Linked DNA regions of Callithrix jacchus. The main gene of each other region encodes a partner of the protein of the gene in region 4 in a complex. Links are inferred from orthologs where the notes say so. Each region holds a gene or a part of one and is shown on either strand. Other genes may lie near its edges.

Evidence for each region.
Region 1: the proteins of NLRP5 (region 4) and TLE6 are in contact, whole or in part, in a cryo-EM structure (PDB 8H94), measured with the Mus musculus proteins. The link is inferred for Callithrix jacchus from reciprocal best matches to the Homo sapiens genes NLRP5 and TLE6. Residues at the interface, in NP_035990.1 of Mus musculus: Gln185, Phe188, His283, Arg307, Glu326, Lys327, Lys329, Ser330, Ser334, Pro335, Leu336, Met444, Ala447, Glu448, Trp451, Tyr465, Tyr507, Tyr508, Glu511, Glu515, Asn517, Phe520, Phe522, Leu540, Met543, Lys544, Leu547, Val571, Lys574, Leu575; in NP_444484.1 of Mus musculus: Pro147, Gln148, Pro149, Val150, Cys158, Gln159, Phe161, Leu162, Ile163, Gly165, Leu166, Trp167, Leu169, Phe170, Ser173, Arg174, Gln175, Lys176, Asn177, Ala247, Asp248, Lys249, Phe250, Lys252, Pro253, Ser255, Trp256, Leu261, Glu262, Cys265.
Region 2: the proteins of NLRP5 (region 4) and OOEP are in contact, whole or in part, in a cryo-EM structure (PDB 8H93), measured with the Mus musculus proteins. The link is inferred for Callithrix jacchus from reciprocal best matches to the Homo sapiens genes NLRP5 and OOEP. Residues at the interface, in NP_035990.1 of Mus musculus: Glu173, Leu176, Leu195, His196, Gly202, Leu206, Asn322, Leu325, Glu326, Tyr337, Ile338, Leu339, Val340, Glu341, Gly342, Leu343, Ser344, Ala345, Ser346, His373, Asn625, Gln626, Asp652, Ser655, Glu661, Leu662, Cys663, Pro664; in NP_080756.1 of Mus musculus: Ser26, Leu27, Arg28, Leu29, Arg30, Thr31, Arg32, Ile38, Val41, Asn43, Tyr48, Met49, Leu75, Leu86, Glu88, Pro95, Thr99, Lys102.
Region 3: NLRP5 (region 4) and KHDC3L share a complex: the UniProt entries of both Homo sapiens proteins name them as parts of the subcortical maternal complex. The link is inferred for Callithrix jacchus from reciprocal best matches to the Homo sapiens genes NLRP5 and KHDC3L.

Annotation. Positions count from the first base shown.
Region 1 is NC_133523.1:2,770,310-2,773,556, forward strand, and holds the end of TLE6 (transducin-like enhancer protein 6), read left to right. Parts: intron 1-575; coding exon 576-726; intron 727-1,411; coding exon 1,412-1,488; intron 1,489-2,412; coding exon 2,413-2,517; 3' UTR 2,518-2,694; downstream 2,695-3,247. UniProt on the Homo sapiens protein: Component of the subcortical maternal complex (SCMC), a multiprotein complex that plays a key role in early embryonic development.
Region 2 is NC_133505.1:78,457,551-78,460,622, reverse strand, and holds OOEP (oocyte-expressed protein homolog), read left to right. Parts: upstream 1-1,203; 5' UTR 1,204-1,308; coding exon 1,309-1,498; intron 1,499-1,701; coding exon 1,702-1,881; intron 1,882-2,217; coding exon 2,218-2,297; 3' UTR 2,298-2,520; downstream 2,521-3,072. UniProt on the Homo sapiens protein: Component of the subcortical maternal complex (SCMC), a multiprotein complex that plays a key role in early embryonic development.
Region 3 is NC_133505.1:78,451,338-78,454,761, forward strand, and holds KHDC3L (KH domain-containing protein 3), read left to right. Parts: upstream 1-1,462; 5' UTR 1,463-1,532; coding exon 1,533-1,701; exon of another isoform or gene 1,702-1,896; coding exon 1,897-2,076; exon of another isoform or gene 2,077-2,114; intron 2,115-2,357; coding exon 2,358-2,695; 3' UTR 2,696-2,871; downstream 2,872-3,424. UniProt on the Homo sapiens protein: Component of the subcortical maternal complex (SCMC), a multiprotein complex that plays a key role in early embryonic development.
Region 4 is NC_133523.1:48,863,471-48,867,036, forward strand, and holds part of NLRP5 (NACHT, LRR and PYD domains-containing protein 5), read left to right. Parts: intron 1-1,073; coding exon 1,074-1,244; intron 1,245-2,568; coding exon 2,569-2,739; intron 2,740-3,566. UniProt on the Homo sapiens protein: Component of the subcortical maternal complex (SCMC), a multiprotein complex that plays a key role in early embryonic development.

The DNA.
Region 1 (3,247 bases), about 46 Mb from region 4:
CATTATCTGGGTGTGGTGGCGGCACCTGTAGTCCCAGCTACTCAGGAGGCTGAGGCAGGAGAATCACTTTAAACGGGAAGGTGGAGGGTGCATTGAGCCGAGATCGTGCCCCTGCACTCCAGCCTGGATGACTGAGCGTGACTCCATCTCAGAAAAAAAACAAAAAAAATTTGCTGTTTAAATAAGAAACACTTGGCCAGGTGCAGTGGCTCACGCCTGTAATCCCAGCTACTGGGGAGACTGAGGCAGGATAATCGCTTGAACCGAGGAGGTGGAGGTTGCTGTAAGTCGAGATCACGCCACTGCGCTCCAGCCTGGTGACAGAGCGAGACTGTTTTCTTAAAAAAAAAAAAAGCTTAAATGCTATATTGGGTGCAGAAGTAGGGAAGACTGTGCTCATATTACAGACCAACAAACTGAGGCACAGACACGAAATGACTTGGGCCAGGGCTGGGCAGCTAGGAAGGGGTCAGGCACTCAGCCTCCAGGATAGGACCCCAGTCTCCTGCCTGCCTTTTGGGCCAGGCTGGGACCTAACCAGCTTCCTCCCTCCCCACTGCCCTTTCATTGCCCAGATAATGAGCCTGTCCCACAGTCCCCAAGAGGACTGGCTGCTGCTGGGCATGGCCAACGGCCAGCAGTGGCTACAGAGCACCAGTGACAGCCGGCGGCAGCTGGTGGGGCAGAGAGACGGCATCATCCTGAGCGTCAAGTTCTCCCCCTTCGGTAAGTAGCCGGCGGAAGGAGGGGGGTCTCCCCCGCAGCCCCCAGCCTCCCACAGGACCCCATCCAATGCCAGCTCCCCACCCAACCCTCTAGGGTACCTCAAAACCTTTCTGGAGGCCGGGCGTGGTGGCTCGCACCTGTGATCCCAGCACTTTGGGAGGCCGAGGCGGGCGGATCACCTGAGGTCAGGAGTTCGAGACCGGCCTGACCAACATGGAGAAACCCCGTCTCTACTGAAAATACAAAAATTAGCCAGGTGTGGAGGCACGTGCCTATAATCCCAGGTACTCAGGAGCTGAGATCACACCATTGCACTCCAGCCTGGGCAACAAGAACAAAACTGTCTTCCCCCGCCGCCCAAAAAAAAAAAACACTATTCCAATACTGCACCAGGCCAGTATCCTGGTATCTCTGCAGCTACTCGGGAGGCTGAGGCAGGGGAATCGCTTGAACCCAGGAGCTGGAGGTTGCAGTGAGCCGAGATCACGCCATTGCACTCCAGCCAGGGCCACAAGACCAAAACTATGCCTCATCCCCCACCCCCCGAACAATCAAACAGCAGCTGTTCCATAGCAGAAGCCAATTTTGGGGCTGTTCCTCCAGGGGGACAAGGGAGGGAAGGGGGTGGGTGTCTGGGCCCTGCCCCTCCCCCACCTGGTGCTCCCACCACCCTTGTTCCTCCCAGGCCAGTGGTGGGCGAGCGTGGGGATGGACGGCTTGCTCAGCATCCACAGCATGCCAGTGGGGACAAACGTGTTCCAGGTACTGTGGGGTGAGCTGGGGGTGGGACCTTGGGGTGGCCCCAAAACCATGTTTCCAGCCTGGGCAACACAGCAAGACCCTGTCTGTACAAAGAAAAAATTAAAAATTAGGCCAGGCTCGGTGGCTCACCCCTATAATCCCAGCAGTTTGGGAGGCTGAGGCAGGCAGATCATGAGGTCAAGAGATCAAGACTATCCTGGCCAACATGGTGAAACCCCATGTCTACTAAAAATACAAAAAAAATTAGCCAGGCGTGGTGGTACACACCTGTGGTCTCAGCTACTTGGGAGGCTGAGGCGGAAGAATCGCTTGAACCCAGGAGGCAGAGGTTGCCGTGAGCCAAGATTGTGCCACTGCACTCCAGCCTGGTGACAGAGCCAGACTCTCAAAAAAAAAAAAAAAAAAATTACCCAGGCATGACAGCTCACACCTATAATCCCAGCACTTTGGGAGGCTGAGGCAGGAAGATCCCTTTCAGTTAGGATTTCAAGACCAGCCTGCCCAACACAGTGAGACCCCATCTCAACAAAAACTCAGAAAAGGCCGGTCAGGGTGGCTCACGCCTGTAATCCCAGCACTTTGGGAGGCCGAGGCAGGCGGAATTGCCTGAGCCCATGAGTTCAAGACCAGCCTGAGCAACACGATGAAACCCCGTCTCTATTAAAATATAAAAAATCAGCCTGGCGTGGGTGGAGGAGACCTGTGGTCCCAGCGACGCGGGAGGCTGAGGCAGGAGAATCGCTTGAACCCGGGAGGCGGAGGTTGCAGTGAGCTGAGATCCCACCATTGCCCTCCAGCCTGGGCAACGGAGCAAGACCCTGTCTTGTCTTCTTGGAAGAGCCCATGCCTCATGCTAGAGCTGACGGGTAAAGACCAGGGGTGCGTGAGCCCTTCCCCAGCTCAGTGCCTACGGTTCCCCCTTAGGTACCCGAGACGTCCCCGATCCTGTGCTGTGACATCTCGTCCAACAACCGCCTCGTTGTCACCGGCTTCAGTGAGCACGCCGCCGTGTACCAGATGACCTACTGAGGGGCCTTGGCTGCCGTCATCGGACTGCACTCCTTTCTGTCCCCCGCCTTTTTCTTCCCCCAACCCGGTGGTCGTGGTGGAGGGAGGTGGGGAAGGGTCTTCTACCGTGTTGAAAACCCCCCTCTGTGGTGAGCTGGCTCATTGCCATCACACGTAATAAAGCATCCAGGAAAAGCAGAGCGGATGCGGCCTGTCCTCTGAAGGGGAAGGGGCCTCCCCATCCCGTCCCTGCTCGTTTTGTGGAAAATTGGAAGGACTTTATCCAGCCTGGTGGCTCTTAGCCTTTTTTTTTTTTTTTTTTCCTTCCAGGATCTGTCGCGAAGGCTGGAGTGACGCCACCGTCCTCTCCATCCTCCTGCCTCACCCTCTGGAGGAGCTGAGACGGCAGATGTGCGCACCACGCCCGGCTGATCTAATCTTTTTAGATGCTGGGCACGGTGGCTGACACCTGTAATCCCAGCACTTTGGGAGGGCGAGGCAGACAGATCATTTGAGGTCGGGTGTTAGAGACTGGCCTGGGAAACACGGTGAAACCCCGTGTGTACTAAAAATACAAAAAATTAGCTGGGCGCGGTGGCTCAAGCCTGTAATCCCAGCACTTTGGGAGGCCGAGGCGGGTGGATCACGAGGTCAAGAGATCGAGACCATCCTGGTCAACATGGTGAAACCCCGTCTCTACTAAAAATACAAAAATTAGCTGGGCGTGGTGGCGCGTGCCTGTAATCCCAGC
Region 2 (3,072 bases), on a different chromosome or scaffold from region 4:
TGTAATCCCAGCCCTTTGGGAGGCCAAAGCAAGAGGACTGCTTAGGTAGGAGTTCAAAACCAGCCTGGCAACATAGTGGGACCCTGACTCTACAAAAAAAAAAAAAAAAAAAAAAGATGGAAAATAGTTGGGTGTGGTAGCAGGCACCTGCAGTCTCAGCTATTCAGGAGGCTGAAGTGGGAGGATCACTTGGGCCTGAGAGGTCCAGGCTGCAGTGAAAACTGAGATCGTGCCACTTCATTCCAGCCTAGGCAATAGAGTGAGACCTATCTTGGAACAAAAGAATTTTTTTTTTTCCCGTTCCCCAGAAAATATTTTTTAGAACAAACACATAGTTAACTGTAAGAACAAAATAGTATATTCGGCAGATACTGTCTATTCTGAAACAACTACCAAACTATTTCCAGAAATACAGTAGAAAATATGTAAGGACATGCATGGGGATGAAATACACTAGTTCAGGATGATGTCCTCTAGGGAGGGAAAGGAAAGATACTTGAGTAATACCTATTTTAAAGAACAGAGAAGTGAAGCAAATGTGGGGAAATGTCAACATCTGTTAAACTGGGAGAGGATACATGGCTGTGTCATATGACTCTTGGGTGTGTGAAACTTTTCATAATTCAAATTTTTAATTAAAATTACAAACATTGAGAAGAAATATGCATCAATACTGGCTGTCTTAGGTTGTCTAGGAGAGTGGAAATAAAGGAAAACTGTGTAACTTGCTACATGTTCTATAAGCCCACCTCTGATTTTTTGCTTAAAACATGACACACTTCCTGGAATAATTTCAAAATGGTAACCATCCAGAGAGTCAGAAGATAAAAAGGGGGCAGAAGAGAGAAAACTGACACATTCAACAAACCTGCCTGGGTTTGATCTACCTGTCTTTAGAAGGCAACGTCGAAACCTTAACCTAGACAGCAAAGGTGATTCCCAGTCAACACGGTCGTCGATTCAAACTCACACTTAATCAGCTATACGATGAGCAGAGGCCTTTTAGGCTAAATACCTTACGAGGCAGAGATGTCGAAGGAGACAGTTGAAGACCCAACAGGAGCCCAAATGAATACTAGTTCTAGGTCAAAAAGGCAGTCCCGACGATTGTGGCAGCGCAGAAAGTGCCCGAAGCGCCACTAGGCCCAGGCGTCGATTGCATCAGCTCACCCGGAAGCGGTGCCAGGCGCCGCCGGAAGGGGCGGAGCGGGTCGAATACTGTAAAAGAGAGCCGGAGCCTCGCGGCTGAGTCTGGAGGAGGTCACGTGAAAGCCGTCCCGCGTGCACTCCGCGGCTGCTGGTCCCAGTATGGTCGATGACGCTGGTGCTGCTGAGTCCCATTGGGGCAAACAGACCCCGGCCCACTCCCTGGAGCAGCTGCGTAGGTTACCACTTCCGCTGCCACAGATTCGCATCCGGCCCTGGTGGTTTCCGGTGCAGGAACTGAGAAACCCTTTGGTGTTCTACCTGGAGGCATGGCTGGCAGACGTGCTCTTTGGTGAGCAACCTAGACTCTTAGTCTCTCAGTCTGAGAGAGGCTTGGCAGAGCAGCTCTCTACAGCCTCTTTCCCAGATTCTCAAGCCAGGAGTGTTGCTGTGGTGCCCACCTTCCAGCTGTTCCCTTCCCTGGTCAACATTTTCTTCAAATCAGCTTCTAACCTGTGACTGCGGCCCCTAAATAGTCTTTCCTTACTTGTTTAGGCCCAGACCGAGCCATAATTCCAGAAATGGAGTGGACTAGCCAGGCCCTGTTGACAGTGGACATAGTGGACTCTGGGAACCTAGTAGAAATCACCGTTTTTGGACGGCCCCGTGTACAGAATCGGGTGAAGAGCATGCTCCTGTGCCTGGCATGGTTTCACCGAGAACATCGAGCCCGAGGTGAGGGTCTTTGAGAAATTACACATGGAGGAAGCCACGAGTGACCATACTGGTCTTGCTCGGCTTCCTTCCATCCTCCCTTAACCTCTTAATTTCTTGGTTTCCGCACCCCAGGAAGTTGCACGAAGTTTTTTGGGAGGGGATCCCCGAGGTAGGACCTTGGGAAAGTCAGTGGAGATCTGATAGATTCAGGCCCATCACTGCCCAAGTCAGCCTCAGCTGGGCTACAGCACTATCGCAGATCCTCCTCTCCTCCCCAACTCCCAATCACTGAGTAGTTTGAAACAGCGAACACTTCTCCCTGTCCATGGTTAGTATCAACTCTTTCTCTTCCAGCTGAGAAGATGAAACACCTTGAGAAGAACTTGAAGGCCCAAGCATCAGACCCCCACACTCCCCAGGATTCTGTTGCTTAAGACAATAGTGTCAGTAGCATCTTGAGAACTTTGCAACTTCTGCTGCTAAAGTTGAAGAGAAGCAAGTATAGCATTCCTAAATCCCTGCATTTGTTTTTCCTGTGTCTTGATTCAGTGTGGTTTATTTTGTTGCAAGAGTGAATTTGAACTATTCTAATAAATGGCTATTTTGCCCAGTGACATTAAGATCTTCATACACTTATAATAAAGCAAATTTATAAAAGATTGACTCATTCATGTTTTGATATGAAGGGTAGGTAGAAGGCTGGCAGGTTGTAGTTTTGTAGGGTTTATTCCTGAATTCCCTCATCTTGAAACTCCTAATCCTTTTATGATTTTATGGTCAGAGTCAGGCCCTCAGCCACAGGGGGCAGATAGCCTCACAAATGGTGATCTGTTTTGTTTTTAGTCATTGGTTCTCAAACTTTAAAGCTTGTAATAAATCACCTTGGGAGTTTGTTAAAACATCATTTCCTAGGCTCCTTCTTCAGAAGATTCTGATTCGGTACTGTTGGGGTATGGTTTATTATTTGCATTTCTGATGAGCTCACAAGTACTCCCAAAGCAGCTCATCTGAATTTCTCACTTTGAAGCTGGTAGTTGACCCCCTGAGGAGCACCGGCTGTGCCTTTTCTTAGAGTGAGGCCTTCGTTGGCCACTCTAAGAAAAGTGATTCCAACGAGCAAGCCTGGGCAGTTAGCATTCATTAACCCTAGCATTGCAATCCCCATGGAAGAGCAGGGATCCCGGGCACCTTTGCTTGTGGATGGTGCCT
Region 3 (3,424 bases), on a different chromosome or scaffold from region 4:
ATATCTTGAGCCCGGGAGATGGAGGCTGCGGTGAGCTATAATCACATAACTGCACTCTAGCCTGGGTGACCACAGAGTGACTCTGTCTCAAATTTAAAAATTGTGGCTTAGCTGGGCGTGGTGGCTCACGCCTGTAATCCCAGCACTTTGGGAGGCAGAGGCGGGCGGATCACCTGAGGTTGGGAGTTCAAGACCAGCATGACCAACATGGAGAAACCCTCTCTCTACTAAAAAAAAAATACAAAATTAGCCGAACGTGTGGTGCACGTCTGTAATCCCAGCTACTGGGGGCGGGGTCTTAAGGCATGAGAATCGCTTGAACCCAGGAGGCAGTGGTTGCAGTGAGCCGAGATCGTGGCATTTTACTCTAGCCTGGGCGACAAGAGTGAAACTCCATTTCAAAAAACAAACCAAACAAAGCAAAGAAACAAAAAATGGTGGCTCACGCCTGTAATCCCAGCACTTTGGGGGCTGAAGCAGGTGAATCACGAGGTCAAGAGTTCAAGACCAGCCTAGCCGACATGGTGAAACCCCGTCCCTACTAAAAATACAAAAATTAGCCGGGCGACATGGCTCGTGCCTCCAATCTTAGCTACTAGGGAGGCTGAGGCCGGAGAATCGCTTGAACCTGGGCGGCAGAGGTTGCAGTGAACCAAGACGGTGCCACTGCACTCCAGCCTGGGCGAGAGTGACACTCCGTCTCAAAAAATAAATAAAAATAAAAATAAAAATGGAAATATCAAAAAATTTCAAGGAATCTCCTCTGGTATCTAAACCACGGGAACTGTCTGTGGTTGGGTGGGTTCAAGGCTGCATTAATTAAAAGCGCGCCACAGTCCCACCACTGGGGATGATAAGGAGGGAGGATTTTTTAACTCCCCAGAGTTGAAAACCAGCAAGAAAGCCAGATCCCATAACTTTTTTCCTATCCATTTATTTTTTTTTTTACTATGCAAATCTCACTACACAGACCCTATAACTTAAAAAAAAACAAAAACAAAAAAAAAAAACCCTTATTCTGCCCTGTACTCAGCTGTCTCAGGCAGGTAACAGAATAATCTGAAAACCTGGTGCCAGAGGAAGTAAACATAGTGGCCAGGGATAAGAAGCTCTGGGAGACCTAAGAAGTATTCATTCTGCAAGTATCAGTTCCTTCTTCTGAGAAAAATACTGGGCTTATCCACGCCTTCCTGAGTCCATCTTTAAGACTCCCGCGGCTTTCCACTGGATTCCTGGAGCCCAGAGCCCGGTTTCTCCCACCGGGTGCGCTGAAGAAGGGCTGTTCCTGACAGAAGGAACCCTCTGAGAGCAGCCCAGAAACCAGCGCGCTTGTGCGGCCTCGGAAGAAGCCAGGGCCCTAGGAGACGGAGGCGACGCCTGGAGTCCAATGAGAAGGGAGCGGATGGAGAGGAGGGGCTGGCCAAAAGCCCTTAAAATAAGACCCAGCTGTAAGCGCAACTCTAGTCGCCTACCTCCAGCTCGTCCTTTGGGTTTGCGGTTGTGCTCTGGTCTCCTGCAGGGCGGGCGGCAGCATGGACACTCCCAGACGGTTTCCGACGCTCGTGCAACTGATGCAGCCAAAAGCAATGTCATTCGAGGTGCTCGGTCAGCTCCCCAAGCAGTTCTCCTGGTTCCACTCTGAGTTTCTGAAGAATCCGAAGGTAGTTCGCCTTGAGGTTTGGCTGGTGGAAAAGATCTTCGGTGAGTGGACTAGGGACGGGTAACCCTCATGCGGCTTCTTTCTGCACCCATACCTACACCCCACATGTTCTGGCCGCGTTCCAGGGCAAACCTCCCTAGTAGCCAATGTCCTCTGGCTGTCTCCTCCTTCCAACTTCCTCTCCCAAGGCCCCTGGGAGCTACCCGTCCCTCACATCCTCTCTGCTCTCGGCGCAGGCAGAGGCGGAGAGCGCATCCCGCAAGTCCAGGGTCTGTCCCAAATCCTGATTCACGTGAATCACTTGGACCCCAGCGGCGAGGCTGAGATCTTGATATTTGGGAGGCCTTCTTACCAGGAGGACACAATCAAGATGATCGTGAACTTGGCTGACTATCACCGCCAGCTCCAGGCGAAAGGTACGAGGTTGAGAAAAGGACTACTTTGAGCAAATCCTGTCTCCGTAGGAGTGATCCTGGGTTTTACTGGCTGCTGGGGCGGCAGTCTCGCCCTCCCAGTCGGCCCGCGGTTGGTGGGTGAGGGAGGGGGCGGTTCTGGTCGCCACGGATCGAGAAGGCCAAACTGAACTTGCGTTCTGGGATTCCTGGCTCCTACTCCCGTAGGCCACATGGGTGACTGTCCTTTTTTAGAGAGGATATAGGGATACAGCTGTGGCCTCTGCACACTGCTCTTCTTCCAGGCTCAGGAAAGGCCCTCGCCCAGGATATAGCCACTCAGAAGGCCGAAACCCAGCGGTCTTCAATAGAAGTCCGGGAAGCCGGGACACAGCGCTTGGTGGAGGTCCGGGAAGCCGGGACCCAGCGTTCGGTGGAGGTCCGGGAGGCCTGGACCCAGCGTTCGGTGGAGGTCCGGGAGGTCGGGACACAGGGTTCTCCGGTGGAGGTGCGGGAGGCCGGGACCCAGCAGTCCCTCAAGGCTGCCAGTGAGTCGGGGACCCAGCGATCTCCCGAAGCTGCCAGCAAGGCACGGACCCAGCGGTTTTACGTGGATGCCCGGGACCCAGTTACTAGATTATGAAGGCATTTCAGGCCCTGGAACCAGAGCCAGTCAGGGGTTAAGTGGAAGCCCGATACACTTAAGCCTCAGAAGGTGGGGTTGGGGGTGGGGGAATCATGATGTGAATTGTTTTGTTTTACCCCTTCTGTTGAATGGTTGCAAACACAAACTTGAGTTCTAATAAAGAATTGCATTTCCCTAACGTCTGTTTTTTGGAAGGTAGAGGGGAGGGAATGCCCATTCCTATATCAGCCCAATTCTGCCCTGCGCCGCTTTCCACCTCGAGGCAGGTGGGACCTCGGGTTCTTAGCCGCCCAAGGTCGCAATCTACCCCGGCTGCGCTTCGGTGTGTCCCTTGTGCTCCTTAACCGCGTTCATCTGGTTTACCCAGGTGAGAATCCTATCTAACCCACTAGGAAACCTCTCCAAGCCCGCTCTGGTTCTACTCAAGGTTAACTTGGGATGAGAAAACCGGGTCGCTTGGGGCTCAGCTGGATTTGGAATACCCTGTGTGTATTGCGATTCTGCCACAGACCACTTTCCCAGTTAGGGAAAATGACATCGGGGAAGGGGGAAACGGAGAGGGCCGAGCTGTGCCACTGTTGCCGTTGTCAGGTCTTGCTTGGGTCACCGACTTTGCACGAAGGTCGTGGACACCAAGATGCAGGCATCGGCTACTCTGGCCGCGAAGAGTCCCAGCAGAGAACACTTTGGCTTCCCTCCGGTCACAGCTCTGGTTGGGGCGCTGAG
Region 4 (3,566 bases):
GTCTCTACTGAAAATACAAAATTAGCTGGGTGTGGTGGCAGACACCTGTAGTCTCAGCTACTCGGGAGGCTGAGGCAGGAGAAATGCTGGAACCCGGGAGGTGGAGGTTGTGGTGAGCTGAGATCGCATCACTGCACTCCAGCCTGGGTGACAGAGCCAGACACTGTCTCAAAAAAATAAAGGTACCTTCAATCACAGCTGGCACTTTCCCTGCCCTCTGTCACGGCTCTCTTGAGCCAGGAGATACCACACAGTCTAAGCCCTTGACAGGAACGGACAGAAAAGTCCCCCGTCAGGAAGCAATAAAGATTCCTCGGTCAGTGCTGCTGAACAATCTCCCACTGTCCATGGTCCCTGAGAGACGCTGACTCGCTCTGTCTCCCACTGTCCCCAAGAGATGCTGACTCACTGTCTCCCACTGTCCATGGTACCCGAGAGACGCTGACTCACTCTGTCTCCTCCTGTCCATGGTCCCCTAGAGACGCTGACTCGCTCTGTCTCCCACTGTCCCTGAGAGATGCTGACTCGCTCTGTCTCCCACTGTCCACGGTCCCCGAGAGACGCTGACTCGCTCTGCCTCCCAGTGTCCCTGAGATGCTGACTCGCTCTGCCTCCCAGTGTCCCTGAGATGCTGACTCGCTCTGTCTCCCACTGTCCCCGAGAGACGCTGACTCACTGTCTCCCACTGTCCCCGAGAGACGCTGACTCACTGTCTCCCACTGTCCCCGAGACACGCTGACTCACTGTCTCCCACTGTCCGCGAGAGACGCTGACTCGCTCTGTCTCCCACTGTCCCCGAGAGACGCTGACCTGCTCTGTCTCCCACTGTCCCCGAGACGCTGACCCGCTCTGTCTCCCACTGTCCCCGAGAGACGCTGACCTGCTCTGTCTCCCACTGTGCATGGTCCCCGAGAGACGCTGACTCGCTCTGTCTCCCACTGTCCATGGTCCCCGAGAGACGCTGACTCGCTCTGTCTCCCACTGTGTACGGTCCCCGAGAGATGCTGACTCGCTCTGTCTGTCCCCCACTGTCCCCGAGAGAAGCCGTCTCACTCTGTCTCCCACCTCTGCAGGCTGGTCAGCTGCCGTCTCACTGCTGAGTGCTGTGAGAGTCTGTCCTACGTGATGGCGAGGAGCAGATACCTGAGGAGCCTGGATCTCTCGGACAATGCCGTGGGTGACGTCGGGGTCACTGCGCTGTGTGAGGGGCTGAAGCAAAGGAAATGTGTTCTAAGGAGACTGGGGTAACTTCCTGGGGTGTCTCTGAGGGCCAGGCTGGGAGGAGGTGGGGTACCCCAGTGCGAGGTTGTCTGAATGAGGATGTGGGTGGATGGCAGTCCTTGTAGCACCACAGCTCTGGGTATAAGTTACAGCTGGGCTCCCGCAGTGTGAGTGGCTGCCTGTAACCTCAGCTACTCTGGAGGCTGAGGCAGGAGAATCACTTGAACCCGGGAGGTGGAGGTTGCTGTGAGCCAAGATTGTACCACTGCACTCCAGCCTGAGTAACAGAGTGACACTCTGTCTCAAAAAAACAAAAACAAAAAAGGCCGGGCGCGGTGGCTCAAGCCTGTAATCCCAGCACTTTGGGAGGCCGAGGCGGGTGGATCACGAGGTCAAGAGATCGAGACCATCCTGGTCAACATGGTGAAACCCCGTCTCTACTAAAAATACAAAAATTAGCCGGGCGTGGTGGTGCGTGCCTGTAATCCCAGCTACTCGGGAGGCTGAGGCAGGAGAATCACTTGAACCCAGGCGGAGATCGCGCCATTGCACTCCAGCCTGGGCAACAAGAGCGAAACTCCATCTCAAAAAAAAATTGCTCGTACAGCGCTGACAGCTGCCACAATGTGGGTGAGCCATGAAAACATCCCGCTGAGTGAAAGAAGCCAGCCACGGAAAGTCACAGGGTGCATGAGACGCTTGGGAGCAAGGTCTGGGGGTGGAAAACCCTCAGCTGCCCATTGAGCGACCCCTGTGTCTAGTCCTGGCGCTAAGTGGCGGGAGTACGGAAGCGGGAAGACGTTTGTGTTGTGTGAATGGTCTAGAGACAAAGAGGAGGAGGAACCAAGGGATGGATGACCCGAGTGGCCCTCGGAACTCACGTGAGCATCAGGATCTCCCGGGGGCTTGTAAAGGCGGCGTTCCCACGTGAGGGACTGTGGTTCAGCCATAGAAAGGGGAGTGCTGAGGCCGGGCACGGTGGCTCAGGCCTGTCATCCCTGCACTTTGGGAGGCCGAGGCGGGCAGATCACTTGAGATCTGGAGTTCGAGACCATCCTGGCCAACATGTTGAAACCCCATCTCTACTAAAAATAGAAAAATTAGCTGGGCATGTGATGGCAGGTGCCTGTAGTCCCAGCTACTCAGGAGGCTGAGGCAGGAGAATCGCTTGAACCCGGAAGGTGGAGGTTACCGTGAGATGAGATTGCGCTGTCAGACTCCAGCCTGGGTGACACAGCGAGACTCTGTCTCAAGTGAAAGTGTCAAGGTGAAATTCACAGGGGTTGAGTGAAGGAGCCGTCATTGATCTTTGGGGTTATTTTCCGGGTGTTCTGGGCGACGCTGCAGGTTGAAATCATGTGGATTGACTTCTGGTTGCTGTGAGGAACTGTCCTTGGCCCTTTCCTGCAACCGGCACCTGGCCGGCCTAAACCTGGCACAGAATAACTTCAGTCCTGCAGGAATGAGGAAGCTGTGTTCAGCCTTCGCGTGTCCCACGTCTAATCTACGAATCATTGGGTAAGTCCCTGGCGATTGTCTTCTGAGCTACAGACCTGCTTCTGTTCCAGGCTTCGTAGCTGGTGGAGAAGTAGGTTATGGGAAACGTGGAGGTCATGGCTTGGCAGCCATATTTTTACTCCATTGGTGAGTGCCCACTATGTTGTGGGTATTGTGCTGGGTGCCGGAGACACAGGGATGTGGGAGATAGAGACCAGGTGCCTGATACCATGGAGCTTACTGCTGGGTGGGTTGGAAAGGGTGCAGAGAGAGCATTATTAGTGTTTATGCTGAGAAAACTGGAATTGCTCTATGATCCAGCAGTGTCACTTCTGAGTATAATATTCCCACAAGAATCAAAAGCAAGATCTCAGATCTCACACTCATGTTCCTAGCAGCATAATTCATAATAGTAGCCAAGAGGTGGGAGTAACCCAGGCGTTTGTGGATGAAAGGATAAACAGAATGTGGCATGTACAATGCGATGGAATTCAGCCTTAAAAAGAAAATTCTGGGCTGGGCGGGGCGGCTCAAGCCTGTAATCCCAGCACTTTGGGAGGCCGAGGCGGGTGGATCACGAGGTCAAGAGATCGAGACCATCCTGGTCAACAACGGTGAAACCCCGTCTCTACTAAAAATACAAAAAATTAGCTGGGCATGGTGGCGCGTGCCTGTAATCCCAGCTACTCAGGAGGCTGAGGCAGGAGAATTGCCTGAACCCAGGAGGCGGAGGTTGCGGTGAGCCGAGGTCGCGCCATTGCACTCCAGCCTGGGTAACAAGAGCGAAACTCCGTCTCAAAAAAAAAAAAGAAAAAAAAAATTGACACCTGCTACATGACGGAACCTTG